Coturnix japonica: one gene and its partners. The protein of the gene in region 1 purifies or fractionates together with the protein of each later gene. This does not show direct contact. Links are inferred from orthologs where the notes say so. Each region holds a gene or a part of one and is shown in the gene's direction. Other genes may lie near its edges.

Region 1 (6,257 bases):
AATAGAAAAATCAGGCACTTTAAAATAATGTAATTTTTATAATGGGCTTTCTACCAAGTATTTCAAATCAATCTCATTTTGTAATTAGGTGTTTTTACTTAAGTGCTCCTGCTTTAAATGGCCACAAGGTAATTCAGTAAATCTTACATTTCAGCCTGAAAATCGGGGAATGGCAACATAAAAAGGCCCTTTGATGAAATTTCGAAGTCTGATTTCAGCTAAAGCATGCTGGTAAATAGGGTAAATTGTCTGTGATTTGCTAAAGAAAACAACCACTGCAGTAATGCCTTTCTTATTGTTATGGTAATCTGTTTTTGCTTTAAAAGGGCAAACGCTATGGAAAGAGAAGTAAGGCTGGGTCTTGAAGCACAGCTTACCTCCCTCTTTCAGTATTCCCAATGTCAGAAGTGAAGTTTCCTGCTCTGTACTCTCCTGCTGGGCCCTCACAAGCGCTGAGCAGCGTCCTCCCTCTCTGATGGGTGGTGCAGTCTCACTGGGACAGCGTTTTCCTTTTCTTTGCAGACCAGCCTGGCTCACCGACTGGTGAATCGCGAAGGCTCCGTAACGCAGCTTCCACTCTACACGTCTCCTTCTTTGCCCAACATCACACTAGGACTGCCTGCCACCGGCCCTTCCAGTGTAAGTGATGGGGAACATGGGCTTTGAATTGGTGCTTGATTTCTCCTTTAACCCACACTGACATCACCTGGGTGTTTGCAGGGAGGATCCGCGCAGCAGGATGCTGAGAGACTTGCTATCCCAGCCTTGCAGCAGCGGATCTCTTTATTTCCTGGCACCCACCTCACTCCCTACTTGAGCACTACAGCGTTGGAAAGAGATGGGGGAACCACACACAACCCTCTTCTGCAGCACATGGTCTTACTGGAGCAGCCAACTGCACAAACTCCCTTAGTCACAGGTGAGCACATGGTAGATAATGTGCAAAGCCTGACATGCAGTACCTTGAACATTATCAATGTGTTTCGTAGGTTTAACTTACACATTTGTAGGCTCTCCAATGTATATGATGGGTAGTTTCCAGCTAGAGTAGCCACATCATCCATAGGCAGGAGGAAGATGCCTTGTCATTTTGACAGAATGAAATTAAATAGCGTGTACTTTCAGGCTTACGCTTTTCTTCTGCATGCAACAATTTAAAGAGTATCTTTGGAGTTCTGGCCACTGTAAATAGGCAACAAAAATGTTGTGTCTTGTGATTGCCCTTCCTGTTGATCACTGATGGTTTCTGTTCCAGGTAAAACAGAAGCATGCATTTAGAAAATCACAGATTAAAATACTGGCTTTTTATGGTTATTACAAATAGCAAAAATGTGGCAAAACCAACTGTGTTCCACCAGATTGTATTTGTTTGTATATGTTACATTTGCAGCATGTTAATTGCTTTGAATCACTCCCTGTGTCATGTTTTCAGAATTAAGTACCTGTGGGAAGGCGTATTACTATAAATAGAATTGATTCAAAGCAATATTTCCTAGCAGGCCGCGTTTCTGTTTTACAGTGTGTAGTACCGGGACTCAAAGGATGTTCTGCTTAAGTTGCAGACCTGTTGATTTTTTATTGTTTTCATTCCATTTCTAACGGAAAATATCTTGAGCACAGGCTGCCCAAAGAAGCTGTGGCTGCCCCATCTATGGCAGTGCTTAAGGCCAGGCTGGATGGGGCTTTGGGCAGCCTGGTCTGCTTGAAGATGTCCCTGCCCATAGCAGGGGTTGGGACTGGGTGTGCTATAAAGGTCCATTCCAAGACAAAAGATTCTGTTCTATTCTCTGAAATTACTGAGAGATGTTGATTGCTGAAACATTACAGCACTGCGTTTGGATCGTGTCTGGTTTTCAGTTTGAATTCCAGGAATGTACGTGGGGTTGTGATAAGCACGTACATGTGGAGAATCTGAGGCACAGAAGTGCGATGTTTAACCAGCACTCTCAGAGATTCCCTGAGCCTTGATGTAGTTTTCCTTTGCATTCTGTCACTGTTGTTGTGACGTGATGCTGTGCCCAGCATCATGGCAGGTCTCTTCACCAGTTGTTCTTTGTCTGGGGGCTGCTGATGAAAAGTCATTGCAAAAGACTTTTTCTCTCACTGTAACACCAAAACTTTTCTCCTTTTGTGCAGGTATTTGCATTAAAGAGCTCTTAGGGAGTGCTGTTCTGTTTCCTATCCCACCTCTCTCAAAGCTTCCATCTGTTTACAGTCTATTATGTGTATTCCTTCTGGTCCACCTGCAGTGTGTGGTGTTTTTAGAGCAAGTACAACTTGTAACAAACTGACACTGAGGAGAAATAGTCACTATACAGCAGAGCAACAGCAAGAAGCACACACTCCAGATGCAGCAACTGAAACAGAGCAAGCTAACACATGGTCTCGAAAGCCCTAAATGGACTGTCTGCCAGAATACAGTTAGTACTTACAACTTCCTCAGAAGCATAGTGGAGTTATTAGTATTCTGTTGGTAGCCTTCAGCTGTGGAGATAGTCTCCTGACTACTGCAAAATTAATCCAGCACGCAGCATGCTGGCTCCATGCAGTTAGACGTGGGGATTTGGGAAGCAAAGAGTCCCTGCTGGTCGGTGGTGTGCTGATTTTATGAGTTCGGTGCTCATTTTGCAAATCTAATTTCTGGATTTTATCTGGAGCGTGATAAGTGGTTCACCTTGAGTAGAAAGTGGTAATAGAATCTAGGCAGTGCAATTGCATCCCCCACTAGAGCAGAGCTACATAGATCTGGCATTGCTCCTGCTCCAGATTACTCTGGATCTGGTTGACATGTATATGCCAAGCAGGACCAGTGTGCCTTGCTTGGATACCTTTGCAAGGAGGATTCTGGTCATTCACTTGGAGACAAGTAGTCTTCCAAGATGTCCTCTAGAGACATGTAGGATCCCTTCCTCAACCGTCTAACTTGGACTTTGCATATACGCACACACATAGTTATAAAATAAGATATTCTTTTCAATGATTCTCTTCAGAAGAGCAAAGGGTTAACTGGCCCAACAAAAGAGGCCTCTAAACGAATTGGTTTCCTCCATGTAGGGCAGTTCTGTAAATTAACGGGACAAGGAGGCATTGTCCTGGGCCAGGAGCTTGCAGGTGTTTCTGAACTGCTTCATTCAGCTGGCTGCAGACTTTTGTGCAGCTTTGCTCTTTTTTTTCTACCCCTCCAAGCCTAGAACCAAGTCTCATTTTTTTGCATGTTACTATTTGAACAGTTTTTACTGTTCTGTACAATGAGGTACTTTCTTCCCCAGAAGTATGTGCAGCCTTATCCACACTGGGGAGGCGATCATTCACTCTAGTTATGACTTTCAGTCCCAGGGTGTAGCTTGCAAAGGCTTACCCTGAGCTACTCCACCCTTGGGTTTGGCTTTGTGTTGCATGTGTTTTCACATCCCAGCTTTCTAAGAAGCACGTAAAGGTATAAGAGAGCAGAGCAAGAACTGGCTTACCAAGAACAGCTGAAAAAAAGACAGTTCTTGCAGATATACCCTTAGAAGAGCTCGGGTAGGTTTCACATGGTAGTCATCCAGGAGACATCCAAATTGCCCAGGGGTGAATGAGTAACCCATGACATCCCAGAGTAGCCTTGTGTTTTAGTGAAGTTATTAGCGTGAATATGCAGGACAGTGGTGGAAATCTTTTTAATGCTTTATCCTCTAAATTACCTTGTTTCTAAAGAAATAATGAAAACTTATGGCTCTCAAATTCCTGAAGTGCGTTCATGTGTTTCCAAAGCAAACATGGTCAGCAGTTTATCGCATGAATGTCTTCATCCTTAGTCATTTCTACAGAGCAGTTATAGCACAGCCGAGGGCTTCCCTTCATGATCTAGTAAGAGAACCAGCTCCATCATCAGCCGTCGTCCTTCAGCACGTCTGAGAACATCCTGTAAGGTAGAGCTGCTGCGTGCTGCAGGGCAGCAGCAAGGGCTGATGTTGTCCTCGAAATGAAGCTGGAATTATTTGCTGCATCAAGGCAAGTCATTAGACTTCAGCTTCTCCTCAAAGCCACCACTGTGCATCTAATTGATGTCATCCACTGAGTGACGGAAGGGTCCATAAAATATTGCTGAATTTAAGGATGAAATATCGTCTAGGGTTGCTAAGTAAAGCAGACAAGCAGAGAATTTAAAAGTGTTATTCCATCCAGTGGTCATTAATTGTTATCTGTTCTCTTTTAAGGATACCGCAGCTGTAAGTGGTGAGGTGGCTGGTTTTAACGTTATAAATCGTTGTCACCATCAGCGTTACTCAACAGCCGTTTTCTCCCTTCCTTTCTTCTTCCTTTTTTTTCTTCTCTGCTGTTTTTTCCTCCATATTATCTTCAGACTGGTATCTTTCAGGACTGCCCCTCCACGCACAGTCTCTGGTTGGTGGAGAACGGGTCTCCCCTTCAATACACAAACTCCGGCAGCATCGCCCACTGGGGCGCACGCAGTCTGCTCCCCTTCCCCAGAACGCCCAGGCCCTCCAGCAGTTAGTGATCCAGCAGCAGCACCAGCAGTTCTTGGAGAAACACAAACAGCAATTCCAGCAACAGCAACTGCACATCAACAAGGTAGGCACAACACTTTTAAAGGCTCTCTTCCTCATATGGCATCGACTCCAGCAGAAGCCAGTGCTTTGATGGTTTCTTGTGTTGTAACGTATGTGGTGTCTGACTCCGTAACCAATTGGCCTGCATCCTTGAGCCTCTTTTTCGTGATATCGTGGCATCCCAATGTTATGGCTAAAGCTCAAACAAAGCTGCTCTAGGGTGATTGCTCAGGCATGGATGTAAAAAGGTAAAGTCTGTGTTGGTGTTTCAGCCCATCAGAAGGTAAAGCTAGCTTTCTAAGGGTGAGATCCAATGACCAGAGCTGTGCCAGCTGGCCCCAACTGAGATATTGTCAGAAGACAAAGTCCGTTGATTGACTTATATAGTGGTAAAAAGCTTCAAGGAAAAGGGGAAATACTTCATAAGCAGTGTGATATTTTTTCTGGCTCTTTTGTTGGTGTTGTAAGTCATGGCTTTCTTTACAAAACAAGCCCACAGGTAGGGTTATGGCTCAGGAGGACAAGTCAGACAGTGGACATATACCTTCTGGGGCTGCTGCAGTTTAATTTATGGTGGAGACTTCTCCATATATTTTCACTGTTCTGTCGTATGAGAAGACGGAACTACTGAGAGCTGGGTGAAAAAAAAAAAAAGAAATAGCAGAAAACAAGTTTCCAGTGAGGAGAAAGCGACGATTTAAAGAAAGTCCCCCTGCCCCCCAAAGTGCTGTTTACGGACTGGAGTTGAGGGCAGGATAGTTACACAAGCTGCTGACGTCAATGGTGTACTTCTGGATGGTGGCCATTGTGCACTGCCTGTGCCAGCCCTGGGCTCGGCTTGGCCCTGCACACCGGGCTGCTGGGAGCTGCTGTCGCTGGAGACGTTTTCCTTCCCTCCCTCCTGGCATGCTCCGTGCAGCAAACGTTAAGGCTCGGGGCGCTAGGTAGGGTTTCTTTGTTAGGAAGTCCATTTCGGTTCAGTGGTTTGTTTGTTTTAGTTTTCCAGGATTTCCATTGCCAGCACTTGGAAGTGTCCATAGGCTCGTTGTGACGTACCTCCCCGGCTCAGTCAGCCTTTCACTCAGACCTCCCAGAAGCTACAGAGCGTGCCGTTCGAGAAGCCTGAATTTCAGCTTTGTTAGCCTGGGGGATGCAGCACATCTACAGGGGGAGCGTAGTTAAAACCCATCACACGGGCAGTTTCCGTGTGTTTGATTTATATGAGCAATGAGTTGAAAGCATTTCGGTGCTCGCTCTGTATGTGTGTGGCAAATTTATCCCGTGGGACAGCATCCAAGTGCTGACACGGAAGAAGACTTTTCCCAGACACATGGATATTTTAAGGCCCTTGTGTGCAGGAGCGTGAGGGCACAACTAAAAATAATGTAATAGATTGCTGCTTTTTAATTATTAGCAGAACCGACAGCGCTGTCTGTTCGGGATGGGTTTATATTTCCTGTAAATAATGTGAGACTGTTTGCAATAGTTTGTGATTTTTTTTAAGGTTTTGGACTTAAACTTTCCCTGTTTGGTGTCTACATTGGATTAGATTTTAGCTAAAACAAGTCTTGTTGTTTCCAAAGGGGCAGCTAAGGAAAATAGGTAGTTCTGCTCCCAGTTAGTAAGAATAATCACCCAGGGGATTCTGCTGTAAAGCCTTGGTGCCTGAGGCTATGGAGCAGTAACCTGGAATATGACAAGTGG
Region 2 (6,257 bases), on another chromosome or scaffold:
GAATGCTTGCTAAACAAGGTGGCTACGTCTGGGTTGAAACTCAAGCAACTGTTATATACAACACTAAGAACTCTCAGCCACAGTGCATAGTATGTGTAAATTATGTGTTGAGGTAAGTTAAGTAGGAATTGCTATTTTTGTCATGACTTATTTTTTTTGGAAGACTGAGTCAGATTCATCTTTGACTTGCTAAGAATCCGGTCCCTATTCAATATGCTGCAGTGCTATCTGATTTTCCTACTGATTAGCTTTTTACTTAGAATGCTGCTAGTCGTAGGATTAGGATTAAAAAAGACAATCACTTTGTAGAGATATCAGTGGGGAGATCTCTGCAGGCAAACAGAATTTGGGCATTGTAGGCACTTACCTAATTTTTGTCCACAGTCTAGAACAGTTATACTCACTGGTAATTCCTAGTGATGGAGTCAGAGGTATCCATTTATCTTTTTCTTCCTTTGAATTCTTTCTACTGAAACCTTAAACTTAAGGCAGACTTGAAGTATTTTTCTGCGACAGTGGAATAGTCCTAAGTTAGTTTTTCACAGCTTTAGTGAACGTACCAGTATCAATCCATCAAGATATAGTACCTTCATTTAAAAAAAGTAGAAGACTTTTAAGGAAAGCCCCGAAGTTTGTTTTACTTCTTTTTCTTACTTTCTTGATGCTTTCATGGCAACTTAGAAAATCGTGAGGGCTGAATTCTAGCTGGTTTTTAATCATCTTCCTTTCTGTCTGGCAGTGGAATTGTTCAGAAGGACTTGATATTTTCCCTTGGACAAACGGAGTGTATGCTGAAACCAGTGGAGTCTCCTGAAATGAAAATGACCAAAATATTCAGCAAAGATGACCTGGATGATACCAACAGCCTTTTTGAAAAACTTAAGCAGGAACCAGATGCTTTAACTGTGCTGGCTCCAGCTGCTGGAGACACGATTATCTCCCTAGATTTCAGCAGCAATGGTGGGTGTGTGTTTAAATTGGAGAGCATGCTAATTAGTAAAGTTTGGTATTTTGCAGTAAACTTTGGAAAATAACTTCCCACTTTCACTTGCCTAGTGATCTCTCAGCCACTGTTTAAAATTTAATGAGGTCCGTAGACACGCTCAGTATTTGTTACTTAGGTTGATGGTCTCTTTTAATTTTTATAGAGTCTGATGAACAACAATGTGATGAAGTTCCTTTGTATAACGATGTAATGCTCCCCTCATCCAGTGAGAAATTGCAGAATATAAATATGGCAATGTCCCCACTACCTGCCTCTGAAACTACAAAGCCACTTCGTAGCAATGCTGATCCTGCGCTCAATAGAGAAGTTGTATCAAAGCTGGAGCCAAACACAGAGACACTCGAACTTTCTTTTACCATGCCTCAGGTGCAAGAGCAACCAACCAGCCCTTCTGATGCAAGTACCAGCCAAAGTTCACCTGAGGTTAGTTACGTAATTTGGATACGCTGTCATTAAAATGTATGTGCTGTGTTGAGGCTTGTAGAACAAATCTAGTCAAAGATGCACCCAAGGCATGAATTTAAAATTATTTCTAGCTTGTGACTTAGTTATGCTCGTACTCTAAGGAAAAATGCACTTTCACAGGGAGAATTAACTTTTCATGGAAGCGAGTCTCGCAAATATGTAGAATAGTACATGTGAAAGAAAAGAAGAGCTGCAGATTGGTCTTCCTAGAAAAGGATGATTCAGAGTTGGCTTCTGTAAATGGAAATTAGTTACAGTAAAGTACTGCACAGGCTACTTCTGTGTTCTAACTAATCAAGTGCTTCCCAAATGGGTAAGCAAACGTGTATGTTTTCCTTTCCCATTTTAGTTCTGTGCAGCCATAGATTGCAATTCGTTTTGGCATTCACACATATTTCAGATCTGTAGATACAATGCAAAATAACGTAATGATAGAAAGTTAAAACTGCACTCAAAATGTTTTCACAGCCCAGTAGTCCCAATGACTATTGCTTTGATGTGGATAATGACATGGCTAATGAATTCAAACTGGAATTAGTGGAGAAGCTCTTTGCAATAGATACAGAAGCAAAAAATCCATTCTCCACTCAGGTAATGTACATGAACTTGAAATTCTGTATCATCTTAGTGCTCTCGACATGCTTCTCATTTTGTTAAATGCTTCCAGGAACCTAATTCTTCTTTTACATAACGCTTTATTAAAGATAAATTGCAGAGCCATGAGCTGAGATGTTCTGATGTAAGTTTTAACCTTTTATGTTCTCCAGGAGACTGATTTAGACTTGGAGATGTTGGCTCCTTACATCCCAATGGATGATGACTTCCAGTTGCGCTCCTTTGATCAGCTATCTCCACTGGAAAGCAGTTCTGGCTCTCAAAATGCAGCCACCATTACCATACTTCAGCAGACTCAGACACCATCAACGGCTGCTGATGAAATAAAACCAGTGGCAGAACGTGTGGATGATGTGAAGGCACTAATTGTTCCATCGTCTCCTGTCCATGTAATAAATGACACGAGTAGTGCCCCAGCATCACCTTACAGTGGGAACAGGAGTCGAACCGCATCTCCAATCAGAGCAGGAAAAGGAACATTGGAACAGACAGAAAAATCTTGTCCAGGAGCACCCAGTTTGATAACAGTCACGCTGAACAAAAGGTATTTTAAAAGTGAAGCTCAAGCCCTACTATTTATTCAAGAAATTAGACATGATAGACTTTGAAATACTGCAACTATTGTACATTATCTTCAACGTTCTACTTCAAAGTAGACATTAATATTTAAATCCAGACCATTTTTTAATATAGTAAGCTACTCTAATTTCTCAGCAGCTTTTTTGCAGTAGCCTTTACATAAACATCTCATGCAATATGCAGCTACTACATGCCAGCTGTGTTCATAATTTTGTTCCGCTCTTGTATGATGTGTAGCCATTTAAAAAGACTGCAGCAGGCTCTACCTACATGGTATTGCTGATGCTTTTCTTGTCACTTCATTGAGCTGAGAGGCATCCACAGTCTGTGCTACATGTACTGCTTTTAAAATTGGCTATAATTCATGATGGTGGACTATGGCATACGTAGCATGTATTTATGACGACCAAATTCTACAGTATCAGAACATCAGACCTTTAACGCAGAAACTCTGTACACAAATATTCAGAAGACTTTTCCTCAATCTTCCCTCCTTTGTGTAGGAAATGAATTACTGAACTTTATGCTTTGGTTTGTTTTTAACAGACTTTCTTTTTTTGGCTAAAACTCATTCAGAGCTTCATAGAAAGATGAAATGCTAACGTTTTCTATGTTCCTAGGCAATAACTGTTTAAATTAGTCAGTTACTAAAGAATACTAGTATAGTTCTTAAATTCAGTTCTGTCATATTGTATTTGTCCACAAACGAAGAATGGCTCGAGAACGGTAGAAACGTCTTAACAGCCTGAATCGATTTTTCTTAGATCTACTGCAATGGATGAAGAACTAAATCCAAAGATGCTAGCTTTGCATAATGCTCAGAGAAAACGAAAAATGGAGCATGATGGTTCACTTTTTCAGGCAGTTGGAATTGTGAGTTTTGTTTTACCGTTTTAAAATATTCACTTTTAACCTTGCAATTTCTGACACGAGGCTTCAGTGCAGACTCCAGAGTTTAGCTGTTGGTTTGCAATGGAACCTTGGGATCAGCGATAATAACTGTTTGGGCATGAAATTCCCTCATATATGCAAATATTGTTTTAGTTCTTTTACTGTTGGTTGTTTCAAAGTGCCCTCTGTACCTAAATGGATTTCTTGATTAGATAGAATATATTTGTGAACATACATGCGAGGAGGCATGCTCTGTTAGCAGAATATGCACAAATGTAAGGCAGAATTGTCATGTTTATTTCACTTCCACTTTCACACTCAGTTTTCATACTTGTGAGTACCAAAGTGTTCTTACACTTCCTATTGTTTCATCTCTCTTTGAGTCTGAGGTTCCTGTTTTGAATTTGGTCAGATATCAATACCATCCCAACTACAGAACGTGAATTCATAGAATCTAGCAAACTTGCATTGCTACCACATGCGTTGTTTGTGACTGGGAGCACTGCATCATTGTCCATCTAAGCTATTCAGAAGGAATTCTGTAGGTATTCTAAGGCTTCTGTCCCTTCATTGGCACCATGCAACTTGTTACTTTCTGTAAGGGTATTTTGTCTCTACGATCTTTGATTCTTACTGGCATTTTTTTTTTAGTAGCTTGAAATCCTGGGCTTTGCAATGATTTGCATCTCTCAGTTTCATTGCAAATTCCCACTTCTCTTAAATTTCTACATAATAAATTCTTGGTTTTTTTTCCACTGCATCGTAGCCTTTGATGTTGTTTCTCTAGCAGTCAGTCCATCTCCTAGATGTAATCATCCATTGTGTCTTACAGAGCAGGGTTACCTGTCCTTTGAATGGTTCACTCAAGCGAGAAGTCACTCTATGCAGTCTTAGCATCTCATCTGTGACAGCTGAGGAAGCATTCATACCTCCATTCTTTATTTTTTTTGCCATGGGGTTAGCAGATTTAAAACAACAACAAAACAACAAACGTACTTATGCTATCAGTCTTATTCGCTCAATGCTTTGCACTTTCATGCATGCTGTGCCATTGCTTTCAGTAGCTCCTAAGAATTCACAGCTCTGCTTCAAGTTTTATTGCCTTCTGTTGCCTTTCTCATGCAGTGGTGCTATGGCTGTGCTACAGTGTTGCTGATATGCATTTCAAGGTAGCAGAACACAAGCAGTTCTATATTAACTATTGTAATAAACACAAACTTACATGTTGAGAGCCCTTTTAAAGCTTACAAGTTTGTATTTCACCCTTTGCTAAACCTTCTTTTTGTGCCTGATGAGTGTTATAAATATTTTGACAGTTTCTGCATGGTCAGAAGGTGAATTTTCCACATAGTGGGGGGTCTTAGTGACATTATTATAAGCAGGTACTTTTGTCATCTGGTTTCTCTCTCCAGAGTGGATTTCTGAGTGTACAAACTAGGCGTTGCAGACACACAGAAGAAAAATTATATTAAATCCAGGCTTGTATCACACAGAGATTTGGGACTATGCAAAAACTTGCCATGACTTCCATGGCTGTATAGAAGCACTATTAATTATTGAAAAGAGCAAAAATAATTGAAGACAAAATACAACTTCAGGTTTTCTGGAAGATGAGAGAATTAGGCAAAGACAAAGTGTGCTATAGTGATATTAGGAAATAGTGATACAAATAGTTAAAGCAGAAAAAAGTGAGCTATTTTTCTTCATATGGAGGGCTGCAATGCATTCCCAGTAGTAGAATGGAACAAAAACCAGTACAGGAACAGTACCGGTGACTTGCTATGAATGCAGCTTCTGAGTTGTTTAACTCCTGTTACACAGCTGTCTTTTGACTTGCATGCATGTTTAATAACCTGAAAAGCTGTCCCTTAATGGCAGGATTCTTAAGTACTTTTTCTTCTTTCCCAACAGTCAGCATTACTAACATGGCAAAATTTTGCAGATTCAACCCCTTGTTACTAAGATGGTGTTTTTTCCTTTCATCCCATCTTTGTTTCAGTCGAGGCCTTTTCTTATTCTAATTATATGGAGTTTTCCAGAGCTTTCTGATCTCTACATCTTGGATGCTGCCATCAAAACAATATGCTAAGGAGCTGTTCTGCAATAGAACGGCTCTGGACTGCATTCCCCTTAAGCCTTAGGTCAGTTGGGTTTGGTGGCAGCATCTGGTGCACAAGCAGATTTTACAACTGAGATGTAGATAAAATCCACTGAGCGAGGTTCCTGACTCTCCTGTTTACACTATTAATGCCAGTGCAGAAAACCATGAGACTCCAATGGAAAAATGTGATAGTTATTTGTATGAGAGCAGTGGTAATCAAATGGGCATGTATAGGTACCTGTCCGTGCTAATCTTGAGCCTGGTAGCTGGTGATAACCAGGATTCAGTAATTACTTTGTGCAAGGGAGGTAAACTCTGGAAATCTGATCCCATTTTTTTTTTTTTTTTTAAAGTAATTTTTATGGCTACTCTATTGGAAATATATTTGATCTCAATTCTGAACGAATTCATCTGTAAACTGTAATAAAGCCAACATCAGTGACAGGGATCCCTATTTTGGCAAAGGGGTGCAGAAGTCTAAGCAAGATGCACCATTCAACAAAGATGATTTTGTTTTACTTTCTCCTAGGGATCCTTATTCCAGCAGACAGGTGACCGTGGAGGAAACGCATCGCTTGCTTGGAAACGTGTAAAGGCGTG
Region 3 (5,766 bases), on another chromosome or scaffold:
GAAGGGTGCCATCATTCAGCTGTGGTTTTTTATTTTTCCTTTAATGTTGTGATTTAATTTTTTCTTATCTTTTAATTGACATATTTTGGGGAGGGGAGGAAAAGCAAACTGTGGTTTTGGGAAGTGCATACTGTCATGCCTCTAAAATATCTTCAATTACTGTGTTTAGGTCCGTTACCGTGAACGTATCACAATTCTTCGAGGGAACCATGAAAGCAGGCAGATCACACAAGTATATGGTTTCTATGACGAGTGTTTAAGAAAATATGGAAATGCAAATGTTTGGAAGTACTTCACAGATCTTTTTGATTACCTTCCTCTAACCGCCTTGGTGGATGGCCAGGTAGGTTGAACTTGGATAAAGTTAAATGTTGCTGGTTGTGAAGGGAGCTGTTAATGCTGTATTCAGTGAGTGCTCAGCTTGAAAGCAATCTCAAAAGTTTTCTGAATTGTTAATACTAAACAGATGTCATTTTCTGTACCAATAAATGCAAACAATTGGAATTTCATCCATCATCATCTCTTTCAGATTTTCTGTCTACATGGTGGCCTCTCTCCATCAATAGATACGCTGGATCACATCAGAGCACTCGATCGCTTGCAGGAAGTTCCCCATGAGGTATACTGAAAATTGTCTTAACTCGCAGTGGGATTCATTATTCAGCATGTGTTGGGTATTTTATGTATACAAAGGCAGAAAATCAGGTTCAAAATGATGTAGCAATTTGAGAATGCCTGTCTTGCCCTGCTAGTCTTCTGGAGGAAAATTAAGGGACGCATTCTTGCCTGAAGTTGCTTTAATATCTCAGAGGTGAGAGCTACTTCTGTGAATTTTTCTTTCATTAAAATTAACTTCCTTGTTAGTATTTCAAGCTTTAACTACACTAACTATTGTAGGTGGCAGGTGGGGTTTTTCTTACGTTATTTTGCCAAGCCTTAAAGAGATGCTGAGGTGTGAAGGGACAACGTGAGTGTGTAGGTTATGTTTTTTGTTCTTGCCTTTTTTTTTTTTTTTGCTTCAATTTATGAAACACTTTCCAAATCTCTTACAGGGTCCAATGTGTGATCTGTTGTGGTCGGATCCAGATGATCGTGGTGGCTGGGGAATTTCTCCTCGAGGTGCAGGTTATACATTTGGACAGGATATTTCAGAAACCTTTAACCATGCTAATGGCCTTACGCTGGTTTCAAGAGCCCATCAGTTGGTAATGGAGGTAAGCAGCAAAGGCTGTGTGTTTAAGCTGTTTATAGTGTAGTCAGTTGTTGTGGTGCCCGAGATGTGCACTTGGCCTCTTTACAAGGTTTGTGTGTGGTTTTCTTCTTGGTTGTTCCTAGAAGTTAACCTCTAATCATCAAAACCAGAACCCACACCTTTAAAACATCGTGTAACTCAGAATTGGTATTTTAATTTTTAACAAAGTAGTGGAGAGAGAAGTCTTGCTATTTTTTAAATGTGCTTATCTAATGCTTACTATAGGATGATGTTATATGCTATGGTATGCAATTCCTATTTTCCCTTTTCATTTGAGAAGAGAAATAGACACAGAGCTTAGTGTTACTTAAAACTGCAAAGCCTATGTAGTTTAGTAGTAAGTTACGGGGTGCAACAAATGAATGTGGTTTTCCTAAATAGTTTATTTTCCTCTCCAGGGGTACAACTGGTGCCATGATCGGAATGTAGTAACAATTTTCAGTGCTCCAAACTATTGCTACCGTTGTGGCAACCAGGCTGCAATTATGGAACTTGATGATACTTTAAAATACTCCTTGTAAGTACGCTTAGAAATGAGGTCTGTGTTGCACATGATTTTAAGATCTAATAAGTGGTATTTTGCTACAGTAACTAATTGTGGTTTTGAGGTAGGGTTTTTACCCTGTACACCTTCAGGAGGTGACCTGACAGTGGAATGGTTGGGCTACTCATATGTAAGAAGCTTTACAGTCAGATATTGGAAACTGTTGTTGCTGACATCTGGACAGCTGTCATTAAGCTCATTACATACAATAAAGTCAGAGTTTAATGAAATACTACAGAAGTATTTCATTTTAAGTTGGATTACCTGAGGTAATTATGCCCACCTTTAAGTCTAGGGCAAGAGACTGACAGTCTTGTTAGGATGTTGACTTCTGGAGCTGCTGTAGCAGTTTTACTAATAAATGAGGAATTGTATAAAGTACTGTGTAAATTAACTCTTTGATAATTACTGGAGGCTCCTAGCGTCTAGATGTATACTGATATCTGACCGGTTTGAGTCGTAAAGCCAAGATTTGTTTCTTCCAAGTGCATAGAAATAATCCATAGATAAGTTTAAAATACTTCTGAAAAAATACCTGCGTGTGAATGGGATGCTGCCATTAATACGTGTGCTTCTCAGTTTGCAGTTCGATCCAGCGCCGCGCAGAGGTGAACCGCATGTGACTCGTCGCACCCCGGATTACTTCCTGTAAAGAGATTATAGACCTGTACAGTATTGCCATGAACCATATGTTGACCTAAAGAAAATGGGAAGAGCAACAGTAACTCCAAAGTGTCAGAAAATATTTAACATTCAAACTTGTTTTCACATGGACCAAAAGACGTGCCATATTCAAATACAAAGCCTCTTGTCGTCAACAACTGTGACCACTTTAGAATGAACCAGTTCATTGCATGCTGAAGCAACATTGTTGGTCAAGAAACCAGTTTCTGGCATAGCGCTATTTGTAGTTACTTTTGCTTTCTCTGAGAGACTGCAAATAATAAGATGTAGACATTAACACCTCGTGAATACATTTAACTTTCCATTTAGCTATAGCTTTATTCAGCATGACTGTAGATAAGGATAGCAGCAAACAATCATTGAAGCTTAAAGAACATTTTTAAAATAAGTACCAAGGCTTCATATTTGTTCTGAAACTTGTTTGTTTGTTTTTGTTTTCAGGGAATACCGTTTAATTTAATTGTATTGATTTTTTTTGTCTGCACTCAGTTCCCTTTTCCACTCTTTGCCCAGCCATTTTGTCCCTTGTAATTGTCGGAGCTTAGTGAGTTACTTTGAACAGAACTGTTTTTTTTCTGTAAAACAATGTTACTGCAGGACGGAGCTGCAGTGTTTTTCATAATAAACTTGTGAACTAAGTATGGAAAAATGTCAAATTCTAATTGCATCTCAGGTCAGCTCTGGTTTAATAAACGAATGCACAGCTGGGTAGGTTTTATAAACCTGGAGAGAAATTTCCACCGGAAATAATGGAAAAAACAAAAATGAGGTGATTGGAATGTGCTGGAAAACTGCGACCTTCTGAATTCTGCCCTGGTGAGATGCCCGGTCCTGCGGTGTGATGTAGCTGAGAACAGAGCTCACTCACCACTGAAATGTTGCTCTCTTTTTTTTTTTCCCCTCTTGGTGCTCTGTGAAATGTTCAGAAGTAGAAAAATACAAATTAACTGATCGAGCATGGCTGTTTTTCAAGTGTAAATCTGAGTTATTTCCATTGTAGGTGCTAATACTTCAGAAAAAATCTGAAAAACTAAGAATAAAACCAGTTTTCTAAATATTAAAGGAATAACTTGAAATTCAGTACTATGTGTATTGCCCAGGCTTCCGTTACAAAGCTAAGTGTGATTTGTGTTAACTTCTGTTTAAAAGCTTTTTCTTTCCCCTAATCTGAATCTGGTGACGATTTTGTTCAAAACACATTCAAATGTTCTGCATTATTAAGGCTCCTGCTTGCAACTTCTTACTGGACACATCTTAGAAGAGCTTAGTTGGCTGTTCGAAAGGAGGCCCCAATGCTATTCAGACTGTTTAAAAGACTCTGGCTTTTGGGCTCAGTGTGACAAAACAGAGGGGTGTTCTTTCTTATACACAGAAATGTGTGCAGGTCTGCCTTCACACACTTTTTTCCTTGCTTTTCTGAGGTTTTCTCTTGAAGGGCTGCGTAATTGTCAGACTTGCAAGACACTTCACAACTCATTAATTCACACCTTTTCTGGAAGGTTTGAGGGGTTACTTTTTTCTTTAGCAAAAATTCTACCTTCAGGTGGAGCTCCAAACTGTTTCTGGAAAGCTCAGTCCTGCTGAAGCGTGACCTTTTACAGGGAGAAGAGCATTCTAAAGCTAATGCTCACGTGGAGGTGTTCCTTTTGTTGTTGTTTATATCTCATATGTTGGGAGCTTTTGATCACTAACAAAAAGAAGCTCCTTTGCTTTAGATAGTAGTTCATTAAGTTCCCTTTCCTCTCATTTGCCTCTTGTCCTTCTGCAGATAGAACTTTGTGCCTTCATTGATACAGTTCTATCAATGATTTGCCCTACTGCCTTTGGCACGATGCATTCCCTGCTGCAGGGGGAAGCAGTTCATTTGTTCCATTTCTGTATGCAAATACCAGCAGTTGTTAGTGAAGTCAACAGAGTACGTTGACAGTCACTCCAGATTTTGCACTCCACAGTTACACTGTGACTGGCCATTTGTAGGCTTTTGTGTTTAAGAATATCGCATTGTGAACAAGAAATGGTTGTTCTGATGGGGATTAGTGATGCTCTTTGCCAGCCAGCTAGGAGGTGAGATTCAAGAGAAGAGAGAAAACTTAAAATAGAAGTCACAGAATGGTAGAGGTTGGAAGGGACCTCCAGAGATGATCGAGTCCAACCCCCCTACCAAAGCAGGTTCCCTACACCACATCACACAGCTTGGTCTCCAGGTGGGTCTTGAATATCTCCAGAGAAGGAGACTCCCCAACCCCTTGGGCAGCCTGTTCCAGGGCTCCGTCACCCTCACTGTAAAGATGTTCTTGCACACATTCGTGCAGAACTTCCTATGCTCCAGTTTCTGGACGTTTCCCCTTGTCCTGTCTCCACACATTGCTGAAAAGAGCCTGGCCACCACTTTGCCCCCCCCCTCACCTCAGATATTTATAGACCTGGACCAGGTCCCCTCTTAGCCTTCTTTTCTCAAGGCTAAACTGACCCAGTTCACTCAGCCTTTCTTCACCGGGGAGATGCTCCAGGCCCTTCCCCATCTCTGTGACCCTCTGCTGGACTCTTTCCAGGAGGTCCCTGTCTTTTTTGTACTGGGGAGCCCAGAACTGGACGCAGCACTCCAGATGAGACCTCACCAGGGCAGAGTAGAGGGGGATCACCTCCCTCAATGTAAGCTTCACTTCAAACTGTGATGCTACTGCATAATCAGGATTTCAGTCTGTTTCACAGATCAGTACTGACCTTTCCTTCTGCACTGCAGAGACTGGTAGATCCCCTGGAAAGGTGATTAAGGAGTAGCTCAAAGTCCTGTATTTTTATCATTCAGTGATGTTTGTTGCCTGGGTTTGTATATCAGCTTGAAGTAAACTACTCTCATTTGTTGAGATCTGTTCTTTGAACTAAGGAATCATTAAGTCAGAATCCAAGTATCAGTACACACACCCATACACAGGAAAGCCTTTGGTAATTTCCTTTTCAAAAGGAGAAGATGGAAGGCTTTAGGACATACAGATCTGCAGGTTTTCATTCCTTCATTCTCTTACTCCTTTGCCTGCCCCCACCTGCTGCCTGTCCCTTAGCATCCCCGGTGCTCAGCTGTCCTGCATTGCATCCCGCAGAGCCCTGCTGCCTCAGCTGCGGTGGTTGATGTGAGCTGCTGTGTACAGGTGCCTGTTTTCTCCAAGGTAAATGGACACTTGTGCTTGTAGGCTCAGGCTGAAGCCAGATAGTTTCCAGCTGCTCACAGCTGCATACAAGCTGAGTATTGCTGCTCTGCTGTCTTAGGTCTGACAATACCTCTAAG

Evidence for each region.
Region 2: the proteins of HDAC4 (region 1) and HIF1A purify together in Homo sapiens (affinity purification with western blotting; 4 studies listed by BioGRID and IntAct, with this or other methods). This does not show direct contact. The link is inferred for Coturnix japonica from reciprocal best matches to the Homo sapiens genes HDAC4 and HIF1A.
Region 3: the proteins of HDAC4 (region 1) and PPP2CA purify together in Homo sapiens (affinity purification with western blotting; 3 studies listed by BioGRID, with this or other methods). This does not show direct contact. The link is inferred for Coturnix japonica from reciprocal best matches to the Homo sapiens genes HDAC4 and PPP2CA.

Annotation. Positions count from the first base shown.
Region 1 is NC_029522.1:3,012,776-3,019,032, forward strand, and holds part of HDAC4 (histone deacetylase 4), read left to right. Parts: intron 1-522; coding exon 523-639; intron 640-720; coding exon 721-919; intron 920-4,345; coding exon 4,346-4,575; intron 4,576-6,257. UniProt on the Homo sapiens protein: Responsible for the deacetylation of lysine residues on the N-terminal part of the core histones (H2A, H2B, H3 and H4).
Region 2 is NC_029520.1:49,069,474-49,075,730, reverse strand, and holds part of HIF1A (hypoxia-inducible factor 1-alpha), read left to right. Parts: coding exon 1-112; intron 113-367; exon of another isoform or gene 368-739; coding exon 740-960; intron 961-1,148; coding exon 1,149-1,429; intron 1,430-1,939; coding exon 1,940-2,062; intron 2,063-2,238; coding exon 2,239-2,630; intron 2,631-3,429; coding exon 3,430-3,538; intron 3,539-6,186; coding exon 6,187-6,257.
Region 3 is NC_029528.1:2,266,314-2,272,079, reverse strand, and holds the end of PPP2CA (serine/threonine-protein phosphatase 2A catalytic subunit alpha isoform), read left to right. Parts: intron 1-169; coding exon 170-343; intron 344-529; coding exon 530-619; intron 620-1,052; coding exon 1,053-1,214; intron 1,215-1,650; coding exon 1,651-1,769; intron 1,770-2,375; coding exon 2,376-2,448; 3' UTR 2,449-3,560; downstream 3,561-5,766. UniProt on the Homo sapiens protein: Catalytic subunit of protein phosphatase 2A (PP2A), a serine/threonine phosphatase involved in the regulation of a wide variety of enzymes, signal transduction pathways, and cellular events.